Ovis aries: one gene and its partners. The protein of the gene in region 3 binds, or shares a complex with, the protein of the main gene of each other region. Links are inferred from orthologs where the notes say so. Each region holds a gene or a part of one and is shown on either strand. Other genes may lie near its edges.

Region 1 (4,133 bases), on a different chromosome or scaffold from region 3:
AACATGAATATACTTCTTTTATCACAAGCCTGAGACACAGTGGATTTTATGTCAATTTCCAGCAGATGGTGATTCTAGTCGGTGGACAATAGTAAAATAGAATGAATGTCTAAATGTTAATAGAATCAGGCTGACAATAATCAGATTAGAAACAGCAGAGATTTCACAATATAGCATACCTTGAATTCCTTTATGCTTGGAAGCGATGCATTTAGAAATTCTTCAGTTAATCTCTTCCAACTGGCAGCTTTGCTTAGATCGGAATGAATAATGAATTTTTCATAAATCCTAGAATGTTAAAAAAAATCAACTAACAACTAAAAAGCTGTATTAATAAAAAGGTCTGTAAGATACATAGATATCTGAACATGCACATATATACATATGTATATATATATACATATAAACTGACTTACCCTTCTATTGTCTTTTGTACTTTGTGGCTATTGACATCTAAGAAACGATGAAATCTAAAAGAGAAAATGTGATTCTTATATCAATCGTGTCATAAAGCTAAGTTGACTAGTCTCACGGTCCAACACATTGCCCCCCAAACACACTATACTCAGTTATGTGTTTCCAGTGAGTGCACCTCTCTCCCTGTATCACCTCTGTCATTCATGCAAACAACCAGTCAACCTAAGACTGCTCAAGCATCCTTTCCTTATGACACAGATTGTCTTGAGTTTCCCAACTCTGTCCTCTGGCTCCTCTCTCTTTCCATAATGCCCTGTGTGTAAGTCCAGCACAGCACATCCCTGTTAGCAGGGTTTCCTAAACTTTTTATGCCATTGTGAAGGCCTATGAATCCTAGGGATCCCGTCTCAGGATAAAATGAAACAGAAAGGAAGCCAAGCATACTGAAATACACTTTTGAAATATTTTTTGAAGTCTGTGATATAGTCTGTGATGTTTTTGTTAAAACATTAAATAACAAGATCTAGAAGTGGGTTCATAACTACATGCAACAGTAAATAAGATTTATTAGAAATATCTGCAGTAATTACAATATGACAGTGAAATATGTGATTTCTACTGGTGACACAGTACATAAGCTATTACTTCTTGTTGCTTTCACTCATAATTGAAGGAAATGCTACTTTTCAGCTAGAGATTAGTATAATTTTCTTCTTGTCCAAATCTGTTATATCTGAATTCTACTATTAATATATTCAGACCCTCAGGTTAAGAAGTTCTGTTCTACATCATATGTAATAATTTTTATCTGTCTTATTTAAGAATAGTCGCTGTATTGCACCTGTCTGTGAATTTCTAAGGCCTAGAATGTGGCCTCAATTTTTAAAAATATAAATATGAATTGTTCATTTTTCTGATGGATTAAAGCATCACAAAATTACAATATAGCTCACTCAACTCTTGTTTTCCATCTTTTAGTGGAAACCACACAACCTGTACCTAAAAGAAGTAAATTACACTACTAATTAAAATATCTAATTCTAACCTAGCAAATGGCTGAATGGAATACCATTTTACCTATAAATTTAGTTTCTCAATGTGTAAAAGGCGTTAGTAACTGCTAAGCTCTCCTAACTCTAAAATGATGTCTGCTTACCTACTGTCATTTAGACATACTAACAGAAAAATTATTTGGGATAGAACATTTAAGTTTCTCTTAATATGACCTATTCTCTGAATATCACCTATTAAGGAATTGTTATACTTATGTTACACTTAAGAATTGAGTATTTTATTTCAAAAACGGGGCCGTTTAGACTCTATTCTTATTATAAACCAAGTGGGCACTTTATGTGTGATCATTAAGGTTGATAAAAAGATTACCGATTTCAAAAAACTGTTTACCATTCAAGAAGACTTCTTTCGACATTAGGCAGAAGATTAACAATGACTACCATTCTTCTAATAAAAATTTTATTACAGGTAATGATCATAACTGATTTACATGTCCCATAAGGGAAAATTATACCACTGATTTCACCTAAGTACCTAATCTGAATAAATCTTTTAAAATTAATTAAATAAAAAACCGTATTAAAAGTTGCACTGGACCTCGCATACTCTATGCCAAGAACTGTTTTAGGCGCTGGGATAAGAAATAAACAGAACAAACGAAGATCCCTACTTTGGTGGAGCTTATATACTGCATGACGGTGGGGGTGGAGACAAACAATAACAACAAATGAGTTATCCAATGTGTTATGCTTCGCGTTTTGGAAAAAAAGAGCAGGGTAAGAAATACGGAGTGGTCCGAGCAGAGAGGGAGTCAGTGAGAATAGGGTGTGACCATTACTTTGCTCTAAAATTTTACTCAACCAACCACTCAAAAAATTGATGGGCAGGGGCCCGCGCTAAGCGCAGTGGGCGGAGCAGGGAACCGGATTGCCAGAACTCTTCACTAGGAGAAAGATCGGAGGACGACCCCCAGCAACCCACAACCCATTGACTGAGCTAGGCCTGGCGTGTCCCAGTCCACGGAATAGCAAAGAGTCGAACCCGACTGAGCGACTGAACTGATCACCGCCTCGGGCATCCAGAATGCACGAAGGCACTAAGCTGCTGGAGCGGCAAAGCGCGCCGGGACTCTGCCGGTCGTGCAACACAACTCGCCAGACCCCTTCCCTTCCCCGGCTGCGATGCCGCGTCCACACCTGAAGTTGGACCAGGCGAAGTGCAAAGCGAGCTGGAAGTTGGGGTCCGCTTCGTCCTGGACGCCCGCCACAAGGCGAACGAGCTCGCGCACGTCGCGCTCTTGTCGTCTATCCAGCCGACTCCAGGACGGCGGCAGGGACGCCATACCTCCCGCGCTCCCGCCGTCCTTCGCGAGGTTGCGCCAGCTCTCGCGCGAGTTCGAGCTGCGGCCGCGTTGCGCGTCTCCCTCGCGAGAGTTCGCGCTGCAGTCACGTTGAGCCTTGGGTCTGGTTCTGGTCGGTGGCAGGGTTGTGAGTGTCGTCAAAGGAGAAGCAGTTATTATTAAATTTATTAATAATAGTCTTTGACTGACTTTGGTTGATGGTCTAACGCCTGTGTTTCAAGAACAGCCACTTCTCATTCAGTGTATCGGTTTGCACAGTTTTTAGCTACCACCCTTCGTCAGTTATCCATCATTCAGTTTCTCCTAGAGGTGATATCCAGTGGTCTTTGGATTCCGCTCTGCCTACATGGGCCGCACTACGTGGCACACACTACAGCAGATGTAAAGAAAGCGCGTTGTCTCGCACACAGACTGAGCGCCTTGCCTCCTGCGACTCCCAGTGGGCCAAGGAGGACTTATTAAACAACACTGGCCGAAAGTGGAGTAGTGCTTTTGTTGTTGTTTGTAATTAAAACTGTACTTTTAAACTGTTTATGTAAAGGATTGCTCATAACCATTACAAGACTTGTTGCATAAAACGTTTAACTTTTTTTTCTTTTAGGGATCTACTAGGTTTTCATGTGGTTTGTTACATTGCATCGCTCCAGCTGTTTGGGCTGTCATAACAAAATACCATAGACTGGATGGCTTGAAAACAACAGAAGTTTATTTCTCATAGTTCTGCAGGCAGCAATTTGAGATCCACGTGCCAGCATGATTGAGTGAGGGCCCTCTTCCTGGAATCAGAATTCTGGTTGTGTTTTCACATGATGAAACGGGCAAGGGAACTCGCTGGGGTCTCTTACTAGGGCACTCATTCCATTCTCAAGACCTCCACCATCCTTTTCTAAACACCTCTCAAATACCAGAATGTTGGGCATTAAGATGTCAAATTATTAATTTTGAGGGTGCACAAACACCCAGACTATAGCAACTACCTAAAACATAGACTGCACACAACTGAATAAATCCCATAAGAAGGGGGAAATCATAGGAGTAGAAATGATTCCGTGAAGAAATTTATACCTTCTCCCTGGGGCAATCTTTTCTACTCCAGTCTCAACTATCATCTGTGTGTTTATAACTCTCAGATTTGCATATGCAACCCACATTTTTCTTAGCACTCCAAATCTAAAATTGCTTATTGTACACTTCCAGAAATGAACATACACACTTAGCATGTGTCTCTCCTGACTCCCTATCGAGCCAGTTGGTCTTGACCTCTGGAGGGAGACCTAGAAAACATTCCATAGGGTGCTCCCAATGACTTAGACCCAGTAGGGACTGAGCTACTCTCACACAC
Region 2 (4,300 bases), on a different chromosome or scaffold from region 3:
AGACATGTGGGAGGGGGGTGTTACTTTGTTGAGAGTCCTGCTACCTAAAGGGACTATGAGAAGCTTGGGGTCAGGTTCTTATTTCATACTTTGGGCCACCAAGTATGGCTTTGTTGGTTGTCTGTTCTCTGGGCAAGGGCTTGGGAAGGGCAGAGTGTAGGTGTCTCACTGGTTTGGGGAGGTAGGCCAAAGGCCCCACTTCCTCCTCCCATGCTCACCACACAGTCAGCGTTCTGGGTCAGCCTCTTGAGTGTGAGCAGTGAGTTGTAGGGCTGGACCACCACATCGCTCATCTCGTCCTGGTTGGGAAACACTGAGTATGTCTGTACCAGCTTCTTGGGGTACCTGGGGGTGAGGAAGAGGGAAACGGGCAGGTAGCAGAGTGACTTGGAAGGACTCTCATCACTGCCCCTCTTTGTCTTCTCCAGGAATAACAGGGGCCGTTCCTTTCCAAGTGCCACCAAGGTCTTACACAAAAGGAGTGAGGGCAGAATGGAGTCTTTAGAGCCCAGAAGCCAAAAAAGATAAACCTGAAGCATCAAACCTCCCTCCCTCCTAGGTCCTCTCCCCCAGCTATGCAGACCCTCTGCTTCCTGGGAGTTATTGCTTCCAAGATGTTCCCTGGGAGGCCAGGCTCTGTTCCTACTTGTAACTCAAGGGCAGTAGTAATAGGGCTTTCAGCCAAAAGAAAAAGTGACAAAAGAAAAGACATTACCCAGGGAAACAGAGCTAATGCTCTCTTCCCAAACACAGGCTTACCTGTCATTCAATCGCTCCAAGAGGTAGGAGCCCAGGCCAGAACCGGTCCCCCCAGCGATGGAATGACACAGCACAAAGCCCTGCAGGGGAAGGAATGGAGAAGCAGTCTCCAGGGATCTGGGGGAGAGGCTTCTGGCTTGTCTCATGTCCCACTCCCAACCCTCTCAAGTCTCAGGGTTTCTTCTATATCCATCCAGTGTGAGGCTCCTTGAGAAGGAAGGAGCTGATGCCATCCAGATTAGGATCTTCTTGAGGACACAAACTGAACCTTATTTACTTCACCATCTCACATCTGATACTCAAGAGTTATGAATTAAATTGCCCCCATCACACATCTGATCAGGCTCTTTGTGACCCCATGGACAGTAGCCCATCAGGCTCCTTTGTCCATGGAATTCTCCAGGCAACAATAATGGAGTGGGTTACCATTCCTTTCTCCAGGGGATCTTCACGACCCAGGGATTTGAACCTGGGTCTCCTGCATTGCAGGCTGATTCCTTATCATCTGAGCGACCAGGGAGGCAACCTCCTGACTTCCCCCAGCACTTCTCAGCTTCCTCCCTCCTCTCCCCTAAAGGGGCAGAACCTCACCTCTAGGCTGTCACTTCCATCTGCTTCTCGGTCTATGATGTCAAAGATATCTTCATGGATTTTCTCACCCTGTATAGAGAGATGAGGAGGGAGGAGACACCTATAGAGACGTGAGGATGACGTTTCTGGAGAGCATCTCCTTTCGGCACCAGTAACTCTACCTTGGGACACTGCTGACACCTCAAGCAGAGCCCCGACTGTGGCCCTCACCCCAGAAATGCTACTTTGCATAAACTTCTCTATGTCTGTCCCTCTTATCAGGGTAGTCCCCTGTCTCTCACTGTCAGTATGGTCTAATCACCAGACTGCTTGTGCTTGCCTTACCCCAGGAAGGGAACATCAAGAATCTCCCGGATGGCCACCTGGATACCTGGGAGAATCCGCTGGCCCAGTTGTTGCCAGCTCCTCCTCCATGCTCTGACAGGTATATGTTCTCTGGGTTGTAGAGTTTGGCATAGGGGGAGTTGAGGATGGAGTGGATCACCCTGGGCTCCAGGTCCAGCAGCACTGCCCTCGGGATGTAGTGCTCATCGTCGGCCTGTCAAGAGGAGTCCAGAAGGGGCCCAATCAGCTCGGGCCTGCCCAGTCCTCCAGTCCTCCCAACTCTGGCTCCTGCCTGCCCTCCTCCTTCAAACCAGCCGCCCTGGCTCCTCTGCCCAGTGGGTTTCCCAGTACCCAAGCCCTTCCCTTCAGGCCTCGTGGGCCATTGCCAACCCTGGCTAAGTCGCTGGGGGCACCTGGTAGAAAAAGACGTCCTTGCGATCAGTGCCCTCGGTGGCGAACTCCTCCACGATGCCCTCGGGGCTGATACCATGCTCGGCGCACAGCTGTTTCCAGAACTCGAACCCAACTGGGGGATGGGGAGAGACGCCTGGGTCTGCTAAAGCCCTCTAGCAGAGGGCTTGGGAGCCCAGGGTGAGGCTCAGACACTGTCACACATTCCAGGGTGGGCCCAAGACGCCCGGATCTGGGCGACGTGACAGCTCAGGGTTAGAGGCATGTCTCTCGTGCTGGGTGTCATCATGCGCAGTAGGGCAGGGGGGTTATGGAACGGAAGCGGGGCGGGGGTGGGGTGGTGGTGTTGGAGGATGCCAAGCACTCGGGTGGGACCCGAAGGGGCAGAACCGGAGACTAGCTGGGCCCGGCTCTCGTTCGCTCACTCTGGTTGCCGCACTGGCCCAGCTGCAGGGTGATGATCTCCCGGGGCATCGCTCTTCAGATGAGGCCGCGCCAGCCTGGCCAGGCCGGGCAGGAGTCACGGCGGGGACGAATGCTTGGCAGCTGGGCGCGCAGGACGTGGGGAGCGCGCGCTCTCTTCTGCTTTTGACGCGGATGCTCGGTCTGCGCGTGTGCAGTGCGGGCCTCCTCTCGGCCGGCGGCCCGGGAGCCCAACCTGGGCATCATTTTCCCCCACAGCAGTTGCAGCTGGAATTCCGCACAGGCGCGGAGTGAGGCCACGCCCCCTCCTGCCCACCCGCCCCAGCTCTGCGCCTGCGCAGTGAGACGCGCCGGGACCGAGTGTGGGGGAAGGGAAGTGAGGGAGGGGACGTCCAGGTGTCTGGAATCACCGGCGCTCTGCCTTATAGGTAGGTGAGCGGCTCTGCCTGCTCTGATAGGTAGAGGGGCTGAATTCAAGCCAATTTTCGTCTTTTAAATTTCTATTTTTAAGTTATATGTATCCAACAAAATTTACCATTTTAACCATTTTAAATTACAATTTTGTGAGGTTAAGTACATGTACATTGTTCTGTAACGGTCTCCAGCGGTCACCTACAGAACTTTGGCACCTTCCCAAGCTCTTACCTGTTGAACAGTAACCTCGCCCTTATCACCATTCTGCTTTCCGTCTCAGTGAATTTGACTAAGTGCCTCATACAAGTGGGATAACACAGTATTTGTCCTTTTGTGTCTGGCTTGTTTCACTTAGGTAATGTTATCAAGGTTACTCCATGTTACAGCATGTATCATACTTTTATTCCTTGTTAAGGCTATATAATATTCCATGGTATGCATATACCACGTTTTGTGTTTTATCAGTCCATCTGTCAATGGACACTGCCGTGCTTCTACTTAATACTGCTAATGAACATGGGTGTAGAATATCTTGTTTGAGTGCCTACTTTCAATTCTGGGTATATGCCCAGAATCAGAATTGCTAGATCATGGCAGGATTGTGTTTCCTTTATTTGAGGACTTGCCATACTATTTCTCACAGTCGCTGCACCATTTCACATTCCCACAGCAATGCACATGAGTTCCAGTTTCTCCACATCTTTATCAACACTTGTTACTTTAAAAAAAACAAAACAAATAGGCCATCTAAATGAATGTGAGGTGATATCTCATTTTGGTTTCTATTTTATTTTAAAATTTAAAAAGTTTTAAACATGCAAGCATGATTTTGATTTTTTACTATATATTTTTTATTTTGAAATTTTACATAAATGGTATGAGTGTAATATTCTTTTGTATCTTGCTATTTTCACCCTACTTTAGCTTTAGTGATTTAGCTATGTTGATACATGTAGATTCATTTTGTTCCTTTTAACTGTTTTATAGTATTTAATTGGATGGATAAAAACAGTTTATTCTATTTCCACACAGGGGTGATTTGATTGTTTCCACTTATTTGGTGTTACATCAAATGCCTACAGGAGTTATCCACTTGTGAACCTGAAGAAAAGTATTTACCAAGAGCTTGTGCAGCTTCAACTTTACCAGGTTTGGCATATTTTTTCCTAGATGGTTGTACCAACTTGTACTTTTAACCAGCAATAGCATTTCCATTTCCCTATACTCAGTTCCACACTTGGGTTATCAGATCTTCATTTTTGTCAGCTCTAGATAACTCAAAGCTGTAACTTCCAGTTAGGATCACAATCAAAGCTGATTCAATTTTCTCTTGTTACTGACCCCTGGGAATTGCCTGTTCATTTCCTTTGCCCCCCAC
Region 3 (3,386 bases):
GCGCCAACAACCCCAAGTACGTGCTGAGGAACTACATTGCACAGGGCGCCATTGAAGCTGCGGAGAACGGTGACTTCTCGGAGGCAAGGGCCGCCTGCCCCCCTCCCCCACCACCAGCCCACCCACCCCCCCTCCGCCAACCTCCCCGACCGCGCGCTTCTCGTTGTGGAGGAGGCCGGTCCCCAACAGCCCCCCTCGCTCTCCACCCCCCTGCAGGTGCGGCGGGTGCTGAAGCTGCTGGAGACCCCTTACGGCGGGGAGGCAGAGGCTGCCGAGCCCGAGGGGGCCGCGGAGGCCAGCGAGGTGGCCGCAGAGACCAGCGGGGCGGCCGGCCGGCGGCGCTCCTACAGCAGCAAGCCCCCGCTCTGGGCGGCAGAGCTGTGCGTGACGTGATCCTCGTAACCGCCCTGGGGACTCCGCGCAGGAGGCCCCGGGGCCGAGCCCTTGAGTCCACGAGGCGGCTCCCGCTCCCGTCTCTCCGTGACGGCGGAGACGTCCAGTCAGGACCTGACCCGTCTCCACCCGACGCCGACTCGCCACCCCTGCCCCAGGCTCTGCTCCCCATGACATGCCCCACGCCCGCACCACGCGGCCCCCACCCACCTGGCGGGGGTGGAGGGGGGCGCGGCCCCCCAATAAACCGGCAGCCTCCTCAGTGGCCCCGCGTGGTTGCCCCGCCCCCGCCCGCCCCGGAGACAGAGGCTGGAGGGCGGGTACACGTTTATTGCGGCCGAGCCGGGGCTCAGGCGTCCTGGTAGTAGTTGTTGAAGTTGATTCGCAGCAGGAAGTCCTCCAGGTGGGGCTGGTAGCCGCGGTTCACCAGCTTGCTCACCACTGCGAGGGGCGGGGCGGGGGAAGGGGCGGGTTCAGTGAGCCGGCGTAGCCCCGGCCCCAGCCCTCCCCCCGCCCCGGGGGGCGTCACCTTTGAAGAGGAAGCGGGAGTAGTACTTGAAGGCGCTGTAGGACTGCTGCATGAGGGCAAAGTTGGGGTGCTCGGGGCCGCGCGGGCCGCCGGCCGGGCCCCAGGGCTGGGAGATGAGCTGGCTGCGGAACTTGAGGACCAGGCTGAAGACGCTGTGGATGACGTTCATGACCGGCGCCGCCTTCTCCGTCAGCAGGCCCCTGGGGGGAGGCGGGGGCTGCAGTGGGTGCGCCCGAGCCAGGGCCGCGCGGGGGCAGGCCGCAGCTCACCTGAAGACCGCCTTGTGCAGGTACTCGGCGTGGGCGCGCTGTATCTCCTCCAGGTCGCCCACCGAGGCCAGCCTGGCCTGGAACTCGCACCAGCTGACGTGCAGGATCTGGTTGGCGATGTAGCCCTGGGTGACCTTGACGAAGTGCTGCATCTCGTGCTTGAAAAGCTGCAGCTGGCGGAACTGCGCCGAGCCGGCCGCCTGGCTCACCCGCGCTGAGGAGGGGAGCGGGGAGGGCAGGGGTGAGTGCCGCCGCGGGCGGCTTGGGCCCCTCGGGCCCCCCAGGCTCACCTGTGCGCTTGAGGTGGAAGCAGACGTCCTTGAGCGTCCACATCATGAGCTTCAGCTGCAGCAGGAAGGAGAAGATGCCGCCGTACCTGCTCAGGCAGCCCTCGGTGACCACGATGTTGAGAGGCCAGTCGACCTGGCAGGGAGGCCGGCTCAGTACAGCTGCATCCCGGGACCACCCCCACCGCCCGCGCCAGGGGGCGCTGCTGACCTTGTACCTGAGCTCCAGGCAGCTCAGCACGTCCGGGGCGTTGGGGGCGAACGTCTCGGGCAGGAACTTGAGGGCGAAGGAGAGGTTGGCAGCGTGCGGGCTGTCGCCGTGCAGGCTGTATTGCAGGGCCTTGCTCAGCACCGAGTTGAGCACCAGGGGGCTGAGAAGCTCCCCGGGCGTCTGGCCCGCCCCTAGCTGCAGGGACAGGACACAGCGTCCCAAAGCGTCCAGAGCCTGCCCGCCGCCCCTCTGGCGCCTGGCCCGCCCGAGCTCACCTTCTCGAAGAGCAGGTCGCTGAGGGACTGGGCGAACTCTCCGTCCTCCATCAGCAGGAAGTGCCTTAGCGCCTCGAAGTGCGCCCCGAGGTTCAGCTCCACGAAGAAGTAGTCGACCACGGCCTTGTTCACCAGGGAGACGCTGGCGGGAGGGGCCTGGAGTTACTGACCGTCGCGGGGCGGAGCCGGGCGGGGCAGGGGGAGCGGGGCCGGGCCGGGGAGGGAGCAGAGGGTCAGGCGGTGCTCACTGGGCAGCCAGCGGGGCGGTAACAGAGTGCTTCATGAGCACGGGCAGCGGCAGCAGCTCGCTCAGCTGCACGGCGCTCTCGTCTGCGTCTGACGGGACCCGGGCGTCCTCGGGGAGGGCGAAGGCTCGGGGAAGCCCGTGGTGCAGGAGGCGGGCCACCGGAGGCTCCGCTGCGGGGTGATAGACTGCAGTTAGGCCCCAGGGACACGGGGCCAGGCTGCCTCCCGCCTGCCCGCTGTGGCCGGCCCACTCACACATGGCCTCGTAGCTGTCCGGGTACTGCTCCAGGCGGTAGTGCCCCGCCAGGCCTGCCAGGTAGGCCTGTTCCCGGTCCCAGAGCTGGGCTGCCGCCTCGCCAGGGTCTGGGCTGCTCTGGACGTCTGCATCCTCCTAAGATAACCCAGCCTCGAGGGACCCGCCTCCTTCCCTCATCTGAGAGGAGGGACCAGGAGGCAGACCGCACCCGCCCTGCCCAGTCCCAGGACAGAGCCGTGCCTGCCCACAAAAGGCCCAGCACACCCCCCAACCCCTGACCTGTGAGCCGGGAGAGAGGTCCCTGGAGTCCTCACTCATCCCCAGGCCTGAGCAGAAGAAATGGGGCAGGAGAGAGGGTCAGGGCCAAACACCCGCCCCCGCCCCCCGCCACTGGTCCTCCCCGTCCTGGGCTCACAGACGCCCCCAGGGGCAGGACGGCTCTGGGTCCCACTGACCTGGCTCCTCCGGGGTGCTGTCTCCCAGAGCAGCAGGTACAGCCTCAGCAGACAGCGAGGCCTGGGGGCCACCCTCCTCCCCGTGGCCAGGGCCTGGTCCGGCCACCTGTGCGCTGGAGCTGCCTGAGGCTGTCTCCGCAGGCAGCCGTGGCATGTGTCCCTGGGCTCCCGAGCTGAGGCCCAACTGGGGCCCAGGGTCAGGTGGGCCCAACGGGGGCCTGGACAAATTGGGCTCAGCTTCCCCTGAGAGCACCCCCAGCATCACACTGGACTGAGACACGTGTCCATGGACATTCCACCGTGGCCGGGAGGGGGCCACGTCCCACACATTCTCCCCGACCCTGATGCTGGCGTCAGACACGTGTCCATGGACTTTCCACCGTGGCCGGGAGGGGGTCATTCCAGAAGCACAGACCCCTCTGGGAACACCAGGCTCTGCCCCGAGGACCTGTGCTGTGGCCGGGC
Region 4 (3,948 bases), on a different chromosome or scaffold from region 3:
TTAAGGTTATACAGTGGAAGTGAGAAATAGATTTAAGGGCCTAGATCTGATAGAGTGCCTGATGAACTATGGAATGAGGTTCGTGACATTGTACAGGAGACAGGGATCAAGACCATCCCCATGGAAAAGAAATGCAAAAAAGCAAAATGACTGTCTAGGGAGGCCTTACAAATAGCTGTGAAAAGAAGAGAGGCGAAAAGCAAAGGAGAAAAGGAAAGATATAAGCATCTGAATGCAGAGTTCCAAAGAATAGCAAGGAGAGGCAAGAAAGCCTTCTGCAGCGATCAATGCAAAGAAATAGAGGAAAACAATAGAATGGGAAAGACTAGAAATCTCTTCAAGAAAATTAGAGATACCAAGGGAACATTTCATGCAAAGATGGGCTCGATAAAGGACAGAAATGATATGGACCTAACAGAAGCAGAAGATATTAAGAAGAGGTGGCAAGAATACACGGAAGAACTATACAAAAAGATCTTCACGACCCAGATAATCATGATGATGTGATCACTAATCTAGAGCCAGACATCTTGGAATGTGAAGTCAAGTGGGCCTTAGAAAGCATCACTGCAAACAAAGCTAGTGGAGGTGATGGCATTCCAGTTGAGCTGTTTCAAATCCTGAAAGATGATGCTGTGAAAGTGCTGCACTCAATATGCCAGCAAATTTGGAAAACTCAGCAGTGGCCATAGGACTGGAAAAGGTCAGTTTTCATTCCTATTCCAAAGAAAGGTAATGCAAAGAATGCTCAAACTACCGCACAATTGCACTCATCTCACATGCTAGTAAAGTAATGCTCAAAATTCTCCAAGCCAGGCTTCAGCAATACGTGCACCGCGAACTCCCTGATGTTCAAGCTGGTTTTAGAAAAGGCAGAGGAACCAGAGATCAAATTGCCAACATCCGCTGGATCATGGAAAAAGCAAGAGAGTTCCAGAAAAAAACATCTATTTCTGCTTTATTGACTATGCCAAAGCCTTTGATTGTGTGGATCACAATAAACTGTGGAAAATTCTGAAAGAGATGGGAATACCAGACCACCTGACCTGCCTCCTGAGAAATCCGTATGCAGGTCAGGAAGCAACAGTTAGAACTGGACATGGAACAACAGACTGGTTCCAAATAGGAAAAGTAATATGTCAAGGCTGTATATTGTCACCCTGCTTATTTAAGTTATATGCAGAGTACATCATGAGAAACGCTGGGCTGGAAGAAACACAAGCTGGAATCAAGATTGCCAGGAGAAATATCAATAACTTCCGATATGCAGATGACACCACTCTTACGGCAGAAAGTGAAGAGGAGCTAAAAAGCCTCTTGATGAAAGTGAAAGAGGAGAGTGAAAAAGTTGGCTTAAAGCTCAACATTCAGAAAACGAAGATCATGGCATCTGGTCCCATCACTTCATGGGAAATAGATGGGGAAACAGTGGAAACAGTGTCAGACTTTATTTTTTTGGGGCTCCAAAATCACTGCGGATGGTGACTGCAGCCATGAAATTAAAAGATACTTACTCCTTGGAAGAAAAGTTATGAGCAACCTAGATAGTATATTCAAAAGCAGAGACATTACTTTGCTGACTAAGGTCCGTCTAGTCAAGGCTATGGTTTTTCCTGTGGTCATGTATGGATGTGAGAGTTGGACTGTGAAGAAGGCTGAGCGCCGAAGAATTGATGCTTTTGAACTGTGGTGTTGGAGAAGACTCTTGAGAGTCCCTTGGACTGCAAGGAGATCCAACCAGTCCATTCTGAAGGAGATCAACCCTGGGATTTCTTTGGAAGGAATGATGCTAAAGCTGAAACTCCAGTACTTTGGCCACCTCATGCGAAGAGTTGACTCATTGGAAAAGACTCTGATGCTGGGAGGGATTGGGGGCAGGAGGAGAAGGGGACGACCGAGGATGTGATGGCTGGATGGTATCACGGACTCGATGGACGTGAGTCTGAGTGAATTCCGGGAGATGGTGATGAACAGGGAGGCCTGGCGTGCTGCGATTCATGGGGTCGCAAAGAGTCGGACATGACTGAGCGACTGAACTGAACTGTTTGTATATTAGGCACTGTGTATTTGGTCTAGCTTTCAAAACTCAGTTTAAAACGTTGTGCAAGCATGAAGATGGGAGAAAGGGCCTCTCTCAGTTTTACATCTAGTTCTCTAGCAACTCTCGCCCAGACACTTTCAACCTTAGGCCTGGTCCGGGATTCCCTCCTCCCCTAAGGCAGAACCAATAGGGATCCACCCTTCGCTTTCCGCCTAGGCCCAACCCTCTCCAGGTGTCTAAACCATCCGTAAGCCCCTAGGGCACAGCCCTCAGGTTACCCGTCCAGGGATACGCCCCCCACGCCTTGGTCCTTGCCAGCCCCGCCTTCTTGCTCCCTCAGACTCCTCCTCCCAAGCGCTGGCTCGGGTCCACCCATTCCGAGCTCGCCAGTTCCCGCGCTCCGAGCCGGATAGTACCTGGAGGCCACTCCGCTTGTTCCAGGTGAAAATGGACCCTGGGTACCCGCTCAGAGCCAAGAGCAGTTCGTGGATCATTCCCACGGCGGACCTCGAGTCCCTATATCCGTCGCGCCCTCCTCCAGGGCCTCAGCTGGCGACCAAGGAGGCGAGCGCTCCCTTCTCTATGCGCGCACAGGTCTCCGGGACGCACTGTTCCTCCTGACTTTACCCGCCGAGACAACTGCAGGGGAGACCGGACGGAAAGCAGCCGGCGCGCCGCGTCCCGGAAGTGCGCCGCGCTCGGCTGGGCCCCCTCGCCGGCGGCAGCCGGTGCCCCGCAAGAGTCGCGGGAGCTGCCCTTGCGCATGCGCCTTTGGCTCCCGAGGCACCCACTCGGACTTCCGGTTTGGAAGCTGGACTGGGAGGCTGGCGAGCCCGGGCTGGAGCCAGACCCTGACTGGGTGAGGCTGGCCGGTGGGCAGAGATGCGAGCGGGTTGAGCGATAGCCTGAGTGGGAGAAGCTCTCAGGTGTGGGCCACAGGGTGCTCTCAGGGCGCCTTAGTCCGGTCGGAGGCCTCCGGAGGGATTCATGACGGCTCCGAGTGACCTGGCCGGAGGGAACGAAAACAAAGAGGCCGGAACCCCGCACCCGCCGCTCCTAGACCTGAGCTCCGCGCTCGCGAACCTCGCAGCCCTCGGAGCGCCTGCCCACCACCCGAACTCGTCCTCAGGAGACCCATGACTACTGCCCCTTCGGAATTCCTCTCTCCACCAACTCAGTGTGACTCTCCCCAAACCCACTCGGACCTCGCTTCAGGAGCCAAAATCAACTTCTCTCAATGCGCGAGGTTTCCCGTCAGTAGTTCCCGGATGTTTACTGAGCGCTTACTTCTGCTGTGAGGGAAAACAGAGACCCAGTATTTAGTACTTGATTTTTGTTTGGGGTGGGAATTGGTAGTGGTGGAGTCTCAGGGAGCGGGGCGGGCTGTGAGGGCCTGGGGAAGGACAGTGGAGAGCAGCTTGCTACCCGCTGGACAGAGGCTTTGTTACCTTCAGCAGAATGGTGACCTGCCTTTAGAACCTTCCGAGCTCCAGGTCTCCCAAATGGTTCGAACTCACTGGTTAGGGGAGCTCAATGGGTCAGATTTGGGGGCGGCGGAAGAGTAGACAGTACTTTTATCCTTTGCTGCTTCTCCGGGCTGCCCTGGATGTCGGCCAGAGATGCAGCCTTTGAATGGCCTCTCACCTTCAGGCTGTTTTGACTTCCTGACCTGAAGCTGGTGCTACCTCAGATGACCACTTGGAGCATATGGGCAGTCAGGCCAGCTCTGGCAAGACCCTAGACATACATTCCTTCTGATAGTGCCATCTCTCTCTGCCCTAGGAGGAAACTGCTTACAGAGACAGACTCATCTGCAGGTGATTCCCCAAGGACATGGGAAGATGGGCCTAAGCCCTGGAACCTAGACCTTTAAGTGAAGGGAAGCTGCTTCCTGCTGTGAACCATGG

The links.
Region 1: the proteins of TUBGCP6 (region 3) and TUBGCP5 are in contact, whole or in part, in a cryo-EM structure (PDB 7QJE), measured with the Homo sapiens proteins. The link is inferred for Ovis aries from reciprocal best matches to the Homo sapiens genes TUBGCP6 and TUBGCP5. Residues at the interface, in NP_065194.3 of Homo sapiens: Glu290, Ala291, Ser292, Lys293, Arg294, Arg295, Cys296, Trp297, Glu298, Arg299, Val300, Gly301, Cys302, Pro303, Pro304, His306, Arg307, Glu308, Glu309, Pro310, Tyr311, Leu312, Glu314, Lys322, Arg325, Leu326; in NP_443135.3 of Homo sapiens: Asp211, Asp212, Arg213, Trp215, Leu216, His219, Val220, Val221, His222, Trp225, Ser230, Phe232, Pro233, His234, Leu238, His239, Ser240, Asn241, Leu242, Leu264, Val265, Thr266, Glu267, Thr268, Gln269, Arg272, Val302, Thr303, His304, Leu305.
Region 2: TUBGCP6 (region 3) and tubulin gamma-2 chain share a complex: the UniProt entries of both Homo sapiens proteins name them as parts of the gamma-tubulin ring complex. The link is inferred for Ovis aries from reciprocal best matches to the Homo sapiens genes TUBGCP6 and TUBG2.
Region 4: the proteins of TUBGCP6 (region 3) and TUBGCP4 are in contact, whole or in part, in a cryo-EM structure (PDB 7QJE), measured with the Homo sapiens proteins. The link is inferred for Ovis aries from reciprocal best matches to the Homo sapiens genes TUBGCP6 and TUBGCP4. Residues at the interface, in NP_065194.3 of Homo sapiens: Leu312, Thr313, Ala315, Gly316, Arg317, Ala319, Phe320, Phe323, Leu326, His327, Glu349, Pro390, Glu391, Ser392, Ser395, Leu396, Glu399, Tyr403, Ser455, Leu456, Leu457, Thr458, Gly460, Phe461, Lys464, Lys465, Arg468, Arg471, Tyr472, Glu475; in NP_001273343.1 of Homo sapiens: Met1, Ile2, His3, Glu4, Leu6, Leu7, Ser10, Gly11, Tyr12, Pro13, Gly14, Ser15, Ile16, Gln29, Phe31, Pro32, Phe33, Leu34, His35, Pro36, Glu38, Thr56, Ile59, Glu60, Thr63, Val66, Gln67, Gln68, Ile84, Arg87.

The regions. Positions count from the first base shown.
Region 1 is NC_056055.1:114,155,483-114,159,615, forward strand, and holds the start of TUBGCP5 (gamma-tubulin complex component 5), read right to left. Parts: upstream 2,801-4,133; 5' UTR 2,774-2,800; coding exon 2,628-2,773; intron 471-2,627; coding exon 417-470; intron 289-416; coding exon 180-288; intron 1-179. UniProt on the Homo sapiens protein: Component of the gamma-tubulin ring complex (gTuRC) which mediates microtubule nucleation.
Region 2 is NC_056064.1:42,455,142-42,459,441, reverse strand, and holds the start of tubulin gamma-2 chain, read right to left. Parts: upstream 2,801-4,300; 5' UTR 2,560-2,800; coding exon 2,511-2,559; intron 2,201-2,510; coding exon 2,088-2,200; intron 1,889-2,087; coding exon 1,721-1,888; intron 1,420-1,720; coding exon 1,351-1,419; intron 840-1,350; coding exon 760-839; intron 694-759; exon of another isoform or gene 346-693; coding exon 219-345; exon of another isoform or gene 1-218. UniProt on the Homo sapiens protein: Tubulin is the major constituent of microtubules, protein filaments consisting of alpha- and beta-tubulin heterodimers. Gamma-tubulin is a key component of the gamma-tubulin ring complex (gTuRC) which mediates microtubule nucleation.
Region 3 is NC_056056.1:225,510,461-225,513,846, forward strand, and holds the end of TUBGCP6 (gamma-tubulin complex component 6), read right to left. Parts: coding exon 2,922-3,386; intron 2,793-2,921; coding exon 2,746-2,792; intron 2,602-2,745; coding exon 2,466-2,601; intron 2,382-2,465; coding exon 2,213-2,381; intron 2,107-2,212; coding exon 1,965-2,106; intron 1,885-1,964; coding exon 1,690-1,884; intron 1,615-1,689; coding exon 1,482-1,614; intron 1,406-1,481; coding exon 1,192-1,405; intron 1,123-1,191; coding exon 949-1,122; coding exon of another isoform or gene 923-948; intron 835-922; coding exon 501-834; downstream 1-500. UniProt on the Homo sapiens protein: Component of the gamma-tubulin ring complex (gTuRC) which mediates microtubule nucleation.
Region 4 is NC_056071.1:52,949,387-52,953,334, reverse strand, and holds the start of TUBGCP4 (gamma-tubulin complex component 4), read right to left. Parts: upstream 2,801-3,948; 5' UTR 2,536-2,800; coding exon 2,458-2,535; intron 1-2,457. Other genes in the region: ZSCAN29 (zinc finger and SCAN domain-containing protein 29), read left to right, coding at 3,945-3,948. UniProt on the Homo sapiens protein: Component of the gamma-tubulin ring complex (gTuRC) which mediates microtubule nucleation.